Drosophila melanogaster: one gene and its partner. The protein of the gene in region 1 interacts with the protein of each later gene in a pairwise test. Each region holds a gene or a part of one and is shown on either strand. Other genes may lie near its edges. The genes, in order: CG13407 and isoQC.

Region 1 (4,842 bases):
TGCCTCATTTTCCAGTCATTAAATTTCGCTGGGCGCTCTTGCTGACCAATTTCGGTGGCCATAAAATCTTATAAAAATGTTGGTGGCAAATGTTCGGCTACTAGTTAACTACAATATGTCCGAGTCAACTTGTTATTGACTCTCTGTCTCGGTCCTGGGAGGGCTTTGAAATATGTTGACAATGGCGCCAGCAACAAAAGCTAAATATAAATACCCAATCCACAAAAAAAAAAAAAAAAAAAACAGCCCCCCATTTATGTTCTCAAATTTTCAACCCCGCAAGGCAATTGACTTTTCGATATGCTTCCCTTTTTTTTGGAAGAATCAGCAAAAGTCCTCTAGTTTCTTTTCCATAGTTTTTTGCCCAACATTTCCTGTGGGCCAAATTTTTGGGGGTTGGGGCAGCGCGACAAATCAAAGCGTTACAAAGCTGGAAAATGTGTGGAAAAGTTGCAGTGCAATTTATTATATGCTTTTGATTCTGCAAATCTAGCTGATGTTGTTCTTTCTTTTTTGTTTTGCTCCACGTTGTCGCTAGCACTGCGGAAATGTTAAATATTTGTTATTGCAGTCTAATGTTTCCGCTTTACGAAAGACAACAGACAGGGATTTTTCGAGACTGTGCTATGTTTGTGATCGAAGAGTTGTATACTTCTTGTTTAAAAGTAGTATATATATTACAATTAAATATAGTTAGAAAAAGTTAGTGGAAGATCAGAGCACTTGTAGTGTGTGATAACTGATATAAGCAGCACTAATATACCCCATAAAATTCAATTCAATATAAAAATCTTTTCTGGCAATGAAAACTATTAGCCCCAGTCATAAATCTTTAAGACCAAAGGCGTGGATGTGGAGAAGTGGAAGTGGACCCCAACCAAAAGCCGGGTTCGACTAACCGCACAAGGGACCACAAGAACCGAGCTCCATTTGGCTGCACAGACGACAGTGGCAAAGTCTGGGCCAGACATGGCACAATTATGACAATTTCTGATGCATAACGCTGCATCCATAGAGCTTTTAATGCAATAAACAAGCGACTGGAGCGTCATTAACACTGACAGGAATCGGTAAGGGTAGGGAGTAGGAGGAGTGTAGGGGGGGGGGGGTTGATGCCAAGGAGCATTCCCGGCCTTTTGTCGCTCACTAATTGTCTGGCCTGGCCGAAATGTGCAGCGCATGCATGCAACGCAACGCTCCAATTCAGGTGTGTGTCAGTTGGCCGTTGTCGCCACAAAACACTTTGCCGGCAATTGTCAGCTGGCTTTTGGGTACGTGTTACGAACAGTGATGGGAAATGGAAATACTTTCTCCACGGAGTACAAAATTAAATTAAGATACTAAAGATTACCTTTCCTGAAATTCAATAAAGAAGCAATATAGCAAAGTGGATAAAGTAAGGAGCTCTCGTTTAGAATCTATAACTTCTTCTTTTAATAAGTGAGTTACTATGTTTTTTGTAATTTTTGTACTTGTACCTAGTTTAAGTATTGGTACAAATGCTTTGCTCGAGCCGTACCTGCCAACACTGCCATTGAGTAGTTGTTTTAAGGCCGTTGCAGTTGCAAGTTGCTAGTTGTAGCCAAACTCACTTAGCAGCTGACAATGACAGTCGCCTGCCTCTCTTCTTTCCCGCATCACCAGCAACACCACTATCAGCACCACCACGATTACCACCCACTTCAAGTTCACCTGCGTTAATAGCCGCCTGCCAGGCAAGTGTCTGGGAAAGGCTTTGCCCAGTTGCCTAAACGACATTGTCACTTGCGGTTGGTTGGGCGCATCATCTCCTGCTGCTTCAGCCCCAAACTCCAGTTCGTCGTGCTCGTCCTGTTAGTCCTGATCGTCCTGTTTGCGGCTTCTGCAGTCGAGTTGCCATCGGTTTATGGCAGGTTGAGCACCAGCGACAATGAGCCACGCTGGTGCACCGTGTAGTGATAAACATGCGCGCTTTTCGGCACAAATCAATTAGCAATTGAATTTGGTGAACTCAAAGACGGTGAAAATGTCCGACGGCCAAATGACAAATCAACTCAACGTGCAACAGCAGGAACAACATCCGCTGCTTTCAGCCATCTCAGGAAATAATTATGCGTAAGCCATGGTCAAAGGCATTGGGATGTCGACTGTATTTGCCATACAGCCAAATCAAATTAAATTTGATATAATTAAGAAGTGGCACACTCACTCAGTTCCCTAGAATTATATTGTTAATCTGAACTCGCTTAAGTGCTTTTTATATATTTATCAAGAAGTCCTGCTAAACAACATCGTAAATAATGAATTAATTCTTTTTCAGTCATTGATATATGCAAAACTTAAACGCTTTAACAAACTTCTTTCTTCTATCCTACGTAATATTAATAATCGCTTAAAGGAGCCTTGAAAGAGTTTAGTCAGTTGCAACAGGATAAAGTGTGCTCTTTGGCTTAAAGATTAAGTGCTGGAGTGCCGGAGGCAACTGCAATCGCAAACGACCCCTGGCCCAAAAGACAGCCACTGCGGGCGCGGACTGATACCTCAGGCACTTAGCCGGGCTAATGTGGGACACAAACAGAAGCGGCGTCTCGGCCACACAACCACATGCCCAACCCCCCCCCCCCCCCACTCACTCATCCGCTTGCCCGCTTTCACCACTCACCTTCTAACCTTCTCTTGCAGTCAAACGCAGCGTGTGCATTACTATCCCAACCACTACTACCCGAGCCACTACTTGCCGGGCCATTACCACCAAGGACACCAAGGATACCAGGGGCAGCAGGGACGACCACCGCTCCTGGCGGCCGCCAGCAGCCACAACGGTGCTTATGCGGCCACGGCGGCTGGCAGCGGACACTCCGGCTACGGGTAAGCAAAGAACCACCGCTGCACTGAGAGAAAAGCAATGGGATGAACAAGAAAATTCATTCCAAATATACAAAGAAATTAAACTGTTATGAAAAAATATAAATAACTATTTGAAGATGAATATATACTTAATAATATTGATACTAATGAATACTAAAGTTTCGAACTTATCAACCTAAATTACCTATTTCTTCCTGTGCACTGGCCATCAAAGTCAAACCATAACCCCAATTCCAGTGCAAGTTCCGCATCTAATGCCAGTTTGAATTTTGCAGCGGCATAGAGCCATCCGTGGAGTACGAGCTGCAGCATGACCCACCCTCGGGTAGCTTCTCCTCCTTTCATCCCAGTAGTGCGGGCAGTGGGCCCGCATATCCATCTGCCCACCATCCGCCGGCTGGTCCACCACCGGCTCCTCCGCCCACCAAATCGTCAAAGAAATCGAAGAAGAGCAGCGGTTCGGTGATGAACGCACTAACGCTGCTCTCGTTCTTCTTCTTTGTTAACATGCTGCAGAACTGCCTGAAGGATCATATGGCTGACATGAATCCCACCGTGATGGTGCTCACAGCCAGCGGCACTCGCAATCGTTTCAACAAATTAGCCGAGATGAATTCACGCGAACAGACCTCGACAACGGCCACCGAATCGGTAACGGCATCGGCAGCGGCATCATCTTGGAATCATCAGGCTGCTTTAGTTCCGGCCGTCGAGCCAAGTGTGCCGCCCTCCATTGTTACGCCCACGGTGGTGCTGCAATCGCCCTACAGCCGTCACACGGAGATGGCCAATAAGCCGCCCCAACGCCAGCCAATGGAGTACCAGTCGAACCCTCAGCAAAATCATCACGATTATCGGCCCCACAACGCGAATGATGATGCTTATAATTACGGGCAGCGCCGACCTCCGCCTCAGACCTTCTCCACCTCCGATGGCGGCGATTTCTATCCTAATCGCACACACATCGACCACTCGTCCCGGCCCGACTTTGAATCGGAGTCGGGCTCCGATTACTATCAGCACCACTATAACCCGTATGCTGGCACAAACTCCCATCGGCATCCTTGGTCTTATGGCAGGCAGCGTTACTCATCCGCACCGTGGTCTTCAGCTTCGTTGGGCGCTCAGTCGGGCGTGAGCTCTTACTTGGATAATGCCCAGCGACGGCAAGGTGATGATGACGATGGTCATGGTTATGGCTATGGCTATGGCCACAGGGATAGGGATCGGGATAGGGATAGGGATACGGATGCAGATGGTTTCTGGGATGAGGACGAGAATGGTCAGCAGCGGCGACGCAGCGATGCTTTCTATACTCGCACACGCATTAATTGAATGCAAGAATTCCGCGCACATTTCTATGTTGCATGGCGGGGATTTGCTGCATTAACCCATTGCACAAAAATGGGGTGGCATAATGTGGATGGGCAAAAAAAGATGTGAATGGATTTTTTTTTAGAACAGCTAAAGCAGCGTTTATAGCTTATGGCATTTTACATTCTGTAAATATTATCCACGCTCTTTCGTTGTAGCTTAAAAATACCACATTTAACTTACTTGTATTATTGATTTTCATATAAAGTTATAATACGATATAAGAATTATTTTACATTACCTTTAAAAGTTGTATATCATAATGCACGACCGAGGGTTAAAAATGCTTAGCTTACATGTATTTATAATTAAAAGCAAACAACGTGCATAAGAGCTGACAAAAAATGAATGGAAAAAGGCGATGAGGCGGTGAGGCAGACAGACACACCCGGCAAGTTGGAATCGTAATGAAAATAAATGCTAATTTGTTGCACAACAAATTAAAAGTGCCCCCAGATTTTGCCTGGCGCTTGGCTAAGACTTTATTTTATTGCCTGCCACAGCAACTAAGTTGCAATTTTCCGGACTCACACACCCGTTTGTCTAATACAAATCTGTTGCATTGCTACCTAGCTAGCAGTTTACTTATTTAGTGGGATTTCGTTCTTGGCTCCACAATAA
Region 2 (5,295 bases), on another chromosome or scaffold:
ATAAACAAAATTACAGCTTAAGTCGTCTGGTGTGTTCCGGTTTTTAAATTCATACCAACAAAAATGCCTTCAATACTCATTTAAAGTTAAATTAATATCATATTTGGTTCAAGTATAATTTGAATTTCATTGCAAGTGTTAAATTTAAGTTCAAAATGGTTTGAGACACTAAAAAATGCAACCATTACTCTTAAAGGATTGAGTATAACATAATAATATATTTCTGAGTGTTTTCTGAAACTAATGAGGATATTTAATATTTAAAGGCTGCTCGACAACAAATTTATTTATTGGAATTATTGCATGTGCAATTGCTAAGTAAGCCTAATATAAAACTGCCTTAAACAATTTAATAATTAAATAACTAAGCTTGCATTTTTGAGCAGCGATACTCACCATTGCAGTACTGGGCGGCCAAGTCAGACTCGTCGTAGCGACATCTCTTGGTGTACACCGGTTGGTCCGTGTCCAAATCCCCGACAGGATTGTGACCGGGATTCAGGCGCTTCTTGCAGCGCAGGACTTCCGGAGGCAGGACGACCGGCATCGGTTGTGCCGCGAGGTTATTGCCATCATTGTTGTTGTTGTTGTTGTTGGCGTCGGTCATGAAGGTGACGGCGCGTGGATTGAACGGATCCATCGAAGGACGCAGCGCTCCAGTTTCGAAAGTGGCGGCCGCCGACGACGACGGATCACCATGTGCCCAGCACTCGAAGTTCGTCAAAACCATCGCGCGCCAGCTGCAGTGGAATTTCCCCAAAAAAACCGAAAAGCAAGTACAGTAAATTCGGAAAAAACGCTCCTCTGCGTCCGTACTGTACTGTACGAAATCGTGCGGCGAACTGCAGGCGCGTATTTTTCCCCTAATTGAAATCGTATTTGTATGCAGTATGGATTTTGATGGCTCTGTCGGCTTAATAAGCGCCGAAAATACGCAGCAGTTGCTAAAATGGATGAAATAATTCAATTAACACACGCAAGCGGGGCGCGCGAGCATTCGGCCGAAATGCGACTGTAAATGCGGTGACGGCAACTGTTAAAAATAAACCAATAAGCAAGTTTTACATTTTGCCGCGTGCGCCTTTCGATTCACGATTGCTCTTTTGTTTTCCTTTCGCTCCAGTGTGACCACACTGCTGGTGTCGCAATAAGGCGTGCGACCCTGGAGAAAAATACCGAAGAAGTTGCGAAAAGACAGCTGTGGTTGCAAAAATAGTGCAGATCTTATGAATCTCATTGGAAGTCATGGAAACTTATAATTTATATATATTTATATTTATAATTATCGAAAATCGCGAAACAGCGTACAATATGTTACTTGAACAAATATGACACTTCATTTTGTATACCTAAAGAAATAGCTTCAATACTTCTCTTTTATTTTGATATAATTTTAACTTTTTACTCAATTAAAATGAATTAAAAAATGAGAATTTAGTTGAAAATATTTCGATAGCAACGATACCAACGATTAATCGACTAGTCGCAGTATTTTCTGGTATATTTTGAATGCTGGCACGGTACTACCACTTTATCATGTGATTTGTGATTTGTCAAATATTTCTGATAACCGAATGGCAGACCAAAGCAAAACTAGAAATTGAGAGAAATTGCTGATTTTTCAATTAAGCTGCATTCTATTTAACTGAAAAGATGTCGACCAAGAACAAGAAAGCCGCCGGAGGCAACGGAGTTGCGCCGAAACAAACCCGCCAGCAGTCGCACGTATGTAACATGACGGCTCCGATTGCCGGCTAGCTAATCCCTTGTTTATTTTGGATGCCCAGGACTCGCAGGACTACAGCTCCTTCAAGACAGTGCTCTTCTACTGCATGCTTATCGTTTTCCTGCCCGTGCTGACCTTCTTTGTGCTGAAGGGCTTCGTTCTGGACCAGTTCCTCGACATTTCCGAAGTCAAAGTGAACATAGCATCCGCCGTGGGAGCGGTCGTTGCATTGCACATCGCCCTGGGACTCTATATATACAGGGCCTACTTTGGGGCACCCGGTTCCAAGGGCTCCAAAACGGACTAATCCTCATCTACCCCGGACTGTTACCCTATTTCCATTAACTTTAAGTCGGTAGAGCACTCTTGTACATACATACATGCTACATATATAGATACAATTGTTTACATGCCAGCGAGGGAGGAGAAAGTCGCCTGTAAACCGTGTGTAATCGCTTTTCATTGCATAAGTTTCGATAACAGCGTGGAAAACGTGTTGTGTTGTGTAGTGTTCTGTGTGCATAATTTGTATTAAAAATATACATGCATAAGTGAAATGCGTCTGCTACTCAGAAATTATTCCCTAATGGAGGCCGTCAAAAGATTGCTGCCGAGACCGCGCAAAAAAATCTACAATCTAGGCGCTTGCTTCGAACTGGTGGATATTCCTAAGGTTAACTAAAACATACATTTATTTGTACTCTCTGCTTGAAAGGGGAGTTCTGTATAAAGTATACTGACTTCGGGGATTTTATTATATTGATAAATTAATTTTATGTTTTTGAATTTTATATTATATGTTTTCTTTTTGATTGAAGCACAAATTAGTCATTTTATTATTTTGTAAGAAGAGAATGGCTAGTGAACTGAATATTTCGTGTAACCATTGCTTAAGACCCCTGCTCATTAAATCTAGACACGCCCGTGACCTGTTTTTATGGGGGTGCCACCTGTTCGGGACTGGTGCTGCCACCTGATACAAATGGCAAGCAGCTGTTTAAATAATACGCGTAAACAAAACGATTTTGGTTGAATTAGTAAACAAGGAAATTAAATGATTTTTGAGAGGAGTGCAATAAATTACTGATGGGAAACAAATAGACACCCACAACGAGCGTTACCTATAGACAGTGTTATTTTCGTTAGCATTTTGACCCCCTTTGCGACGCCCATTTTTGTTATTTTGTGCCTTACAAGTCGGCCGTAAAAACTGGCCAAAATGATAATTTAATAGACTCGCCAAAGGGTCTTAAGTACAAGCCGGAGTGTGCCGCAAAATAGTTGCGCAGCCGGATGACCAATCTTTAAACTTCTTACGAACCTGCCGCTATTGATTGCAACCACCTGTTGGGACACAACACTCCCACCGCCGAACAAAAACACTCAGCCACGTAGTCTTAAGTCAGTCGGTTAAATATGCTACATCGAACAGCTAGAATGTGGACGCTGTGCGTGCAGACAGCTTTGATAGCCACCTTGGTGAGGGGATCCACTTCCCAGAAGGATAATCTCGTAGGAAGAACACAGGTCAATGGAGGGTAATGCAGCTAAACCAACCGCCTGCTTAATATGTGCTTTCTTTTAATTCAAACAGATATCCTACAATCCCAGCGAGCTCTCCGAGCCCCGATTCCTGGAGTACAGCAATCTATCCGATAAGCTACACCTAAGGGAAGCCATTGACAAAATCCTTATACCTCGAGTTGTGGGCACAACAAATCATAGCATCGTTCGCGAATACATCGTCCAGAGTTTGAGGGATCTAGACTGGGATGTGGAAGTAAACAGCTTTCATGATCACGCTCCCATCAAAGGCAAATTGCATTTCCACAACATCATCGCCACCCTGAATCCAAATGCTGAGAGATATCTGGTGCTGTCCTGCCATTATGATAGCAAATACATGCCTGGAGTGGAATTCCTGGGGGCCACCGACTCGGCAGTGCCCTGTGCCATGCTCCTCAACCTGGCCCAGGTGCTTCAGGAGCAGTTGAAACCCCTCAAGAAGAGCAAACTGAGTTTGATGCTCTTGTTCTTCGATGGCGAGGAGGCTTTTGAGGAGTGGGGACCCAAGGACTCCATCTATGGAGCACGACACCTGGCCAAAAAGTGGCACCATGAAGGAAAACTTGATAGAATAGATATGCTGGTGCTCCTGGATCTGTTGGGAGCCCCCGATCCGGCATTCTACAGCTTCTTCGAAAACACCGAGTCCTGGTACATGCGTATCCAGTCCGTGGAGACACGTCTTGCCAAGTTGCAGCTCCTGGAGCGCTATGCCAGCAGTGGAGTTGCCCAGCGCGACCCCACCCGCTACTTCCAGTCGCAGGCCATGCGATCCTCTTTCATCGAGGACGATCACATACCCTTCCTGCGGCGAAATGTGCCGATCTTGCACCTCATTCCGGTGCCCTTTCCCAGTGTATGGCATACGCCCGACGATAACGCCAGCGTGATCGATTATGCGACGACGGACAACCTGGCACTGATTATACGGCTCTTCGCTTTGGAGTATCTGCTGGCCGGAACCGAGGCCAAGTAGTCAAGTGGGCTTCCGTGTGAATCACAAATGACAAATGTTGTATCTACTTCAGGCCTTATCTAATTGACCTGTTCCAGTATCGGAGCATTGTTGGAAGTTCTTATGCCCGCCGGAAGATCCCTAGAAAACCTTGTTGTAACCGACTGCGTGCTTTAAAACTAATAAGGGAAGATCTGCAACACGCGTACTCCAAATATTTTTATACACATGTATTTATAGAAAATGCTTAGCTAATGACACGTCAGGTTTATATATTTTTTGTAATCTTTCGGTTGTAAATTGTTTCACTTATGTAAGTTAACTAAGTTAACCGGACTGATTGTCCGCACACCAGCACCGGTCAAATTGCTGACCAAGCATTTGGCCGGAAGCTCATGCATAGCCGGCAGAAGCTCTGCGCATTGGCAGAGGCCGCTATGATGTTTTTCCCTTTGTTAGCTTATAGTCAGTTTGATTTTGTATTCAATAAAGAGCGCATCGCGCCTTCAATCAACTCCAGCTACTGCTGTTATCATTGAATTGGTTGGCTAGCCTTAAGGGCAGTCAACAACGGAGAGACGTTCTCCCACCATATCTCCCAATCTAGGAGAAGAGGTCTGCGGCAACCGCCCTGCCTCCCAGTGACAGAGGAACCCCCCGTTACCTGCAACCTACGCCGGAGACCGCGGCGAGGGACCTGCACCTTATATTTAATTAATTGGCACCCAACTCCAGGAACCCACACCACTACCCTGAATCATGTAAGTGGGATTCTCAACTTAAACACTACTCCAAACTGCGTCTAGAATTTTAAAATATTTGGGATGTTTGTGCGAGTTACATAAATAAATTAAGAAAATCGGCATTTCCACTACAATAAACGTTTATATGTGTTGCGAATTAAGATTATGTTACTGTTATGAAGTTTAAATATCGAATTTTGATTTGTGGTTGACTTTGCAATCCATATTGTGTGCATTTCATTCCGCCTTCGCACATCCGCGGGACACTGTCGTTTCATTCGAAATTTAATTAGCTACATTGGCTT

What was found.
Region 2: the proteins of CG13407 (region 1) and isoQC interact in a two-hybrid assay, tested with the Drosophila melanogaster proteins (one large-scale study listed by BioGRID).

The regions. Positions count from the first base shown.
Region 1 is NT_033777.3:22,101,409-22,106,250, forward strand, and holds CG13407 (uncharacterized protein), read left to right. Parts: upstream 1-2,005; coding exon 2,006-2,094; intron 2,095-2,661; coding exon 2,662-2,847; intron 2,848-3,122; coding exon 3,123-4,182; downstream 4,183-4,842.
Region 2 is NT_037436.4:20,472,245-20,477,539, forward strand, and holds isoQC (iso glutaminyl cyclase), read left to right. Parts: upstream 1-2,221; 5' UTR 2,222-2,282; coding exon 2,283-2,399; exon of another isoform or gene 2,400-2,547; intron 2,548-2,717; exon of another isoform or gene 2,718-3,142; coding exon of another isoform or gene 3,143-3,253; intron 3,254-3,320; coding exon 3,321-4,268; 3' UTR 4,269-4,759; downstream 4,760-5,295. Other genes in the region: CG32428 (uncharacterized protein), read right to left, coding at 397-730; CG5969 (uncharacterized protein), read left to right, coding at 1,654-1,725, 1,788-2,033. UniProt on the Drosophila melanogaster protein: Acts as a glutaminyl-peptide cyclotransferase. Responsible for the biosynthesis of pyroglutamyl peptides. Might be more efficient in the conversion of tri and tetrapeptides in vitro.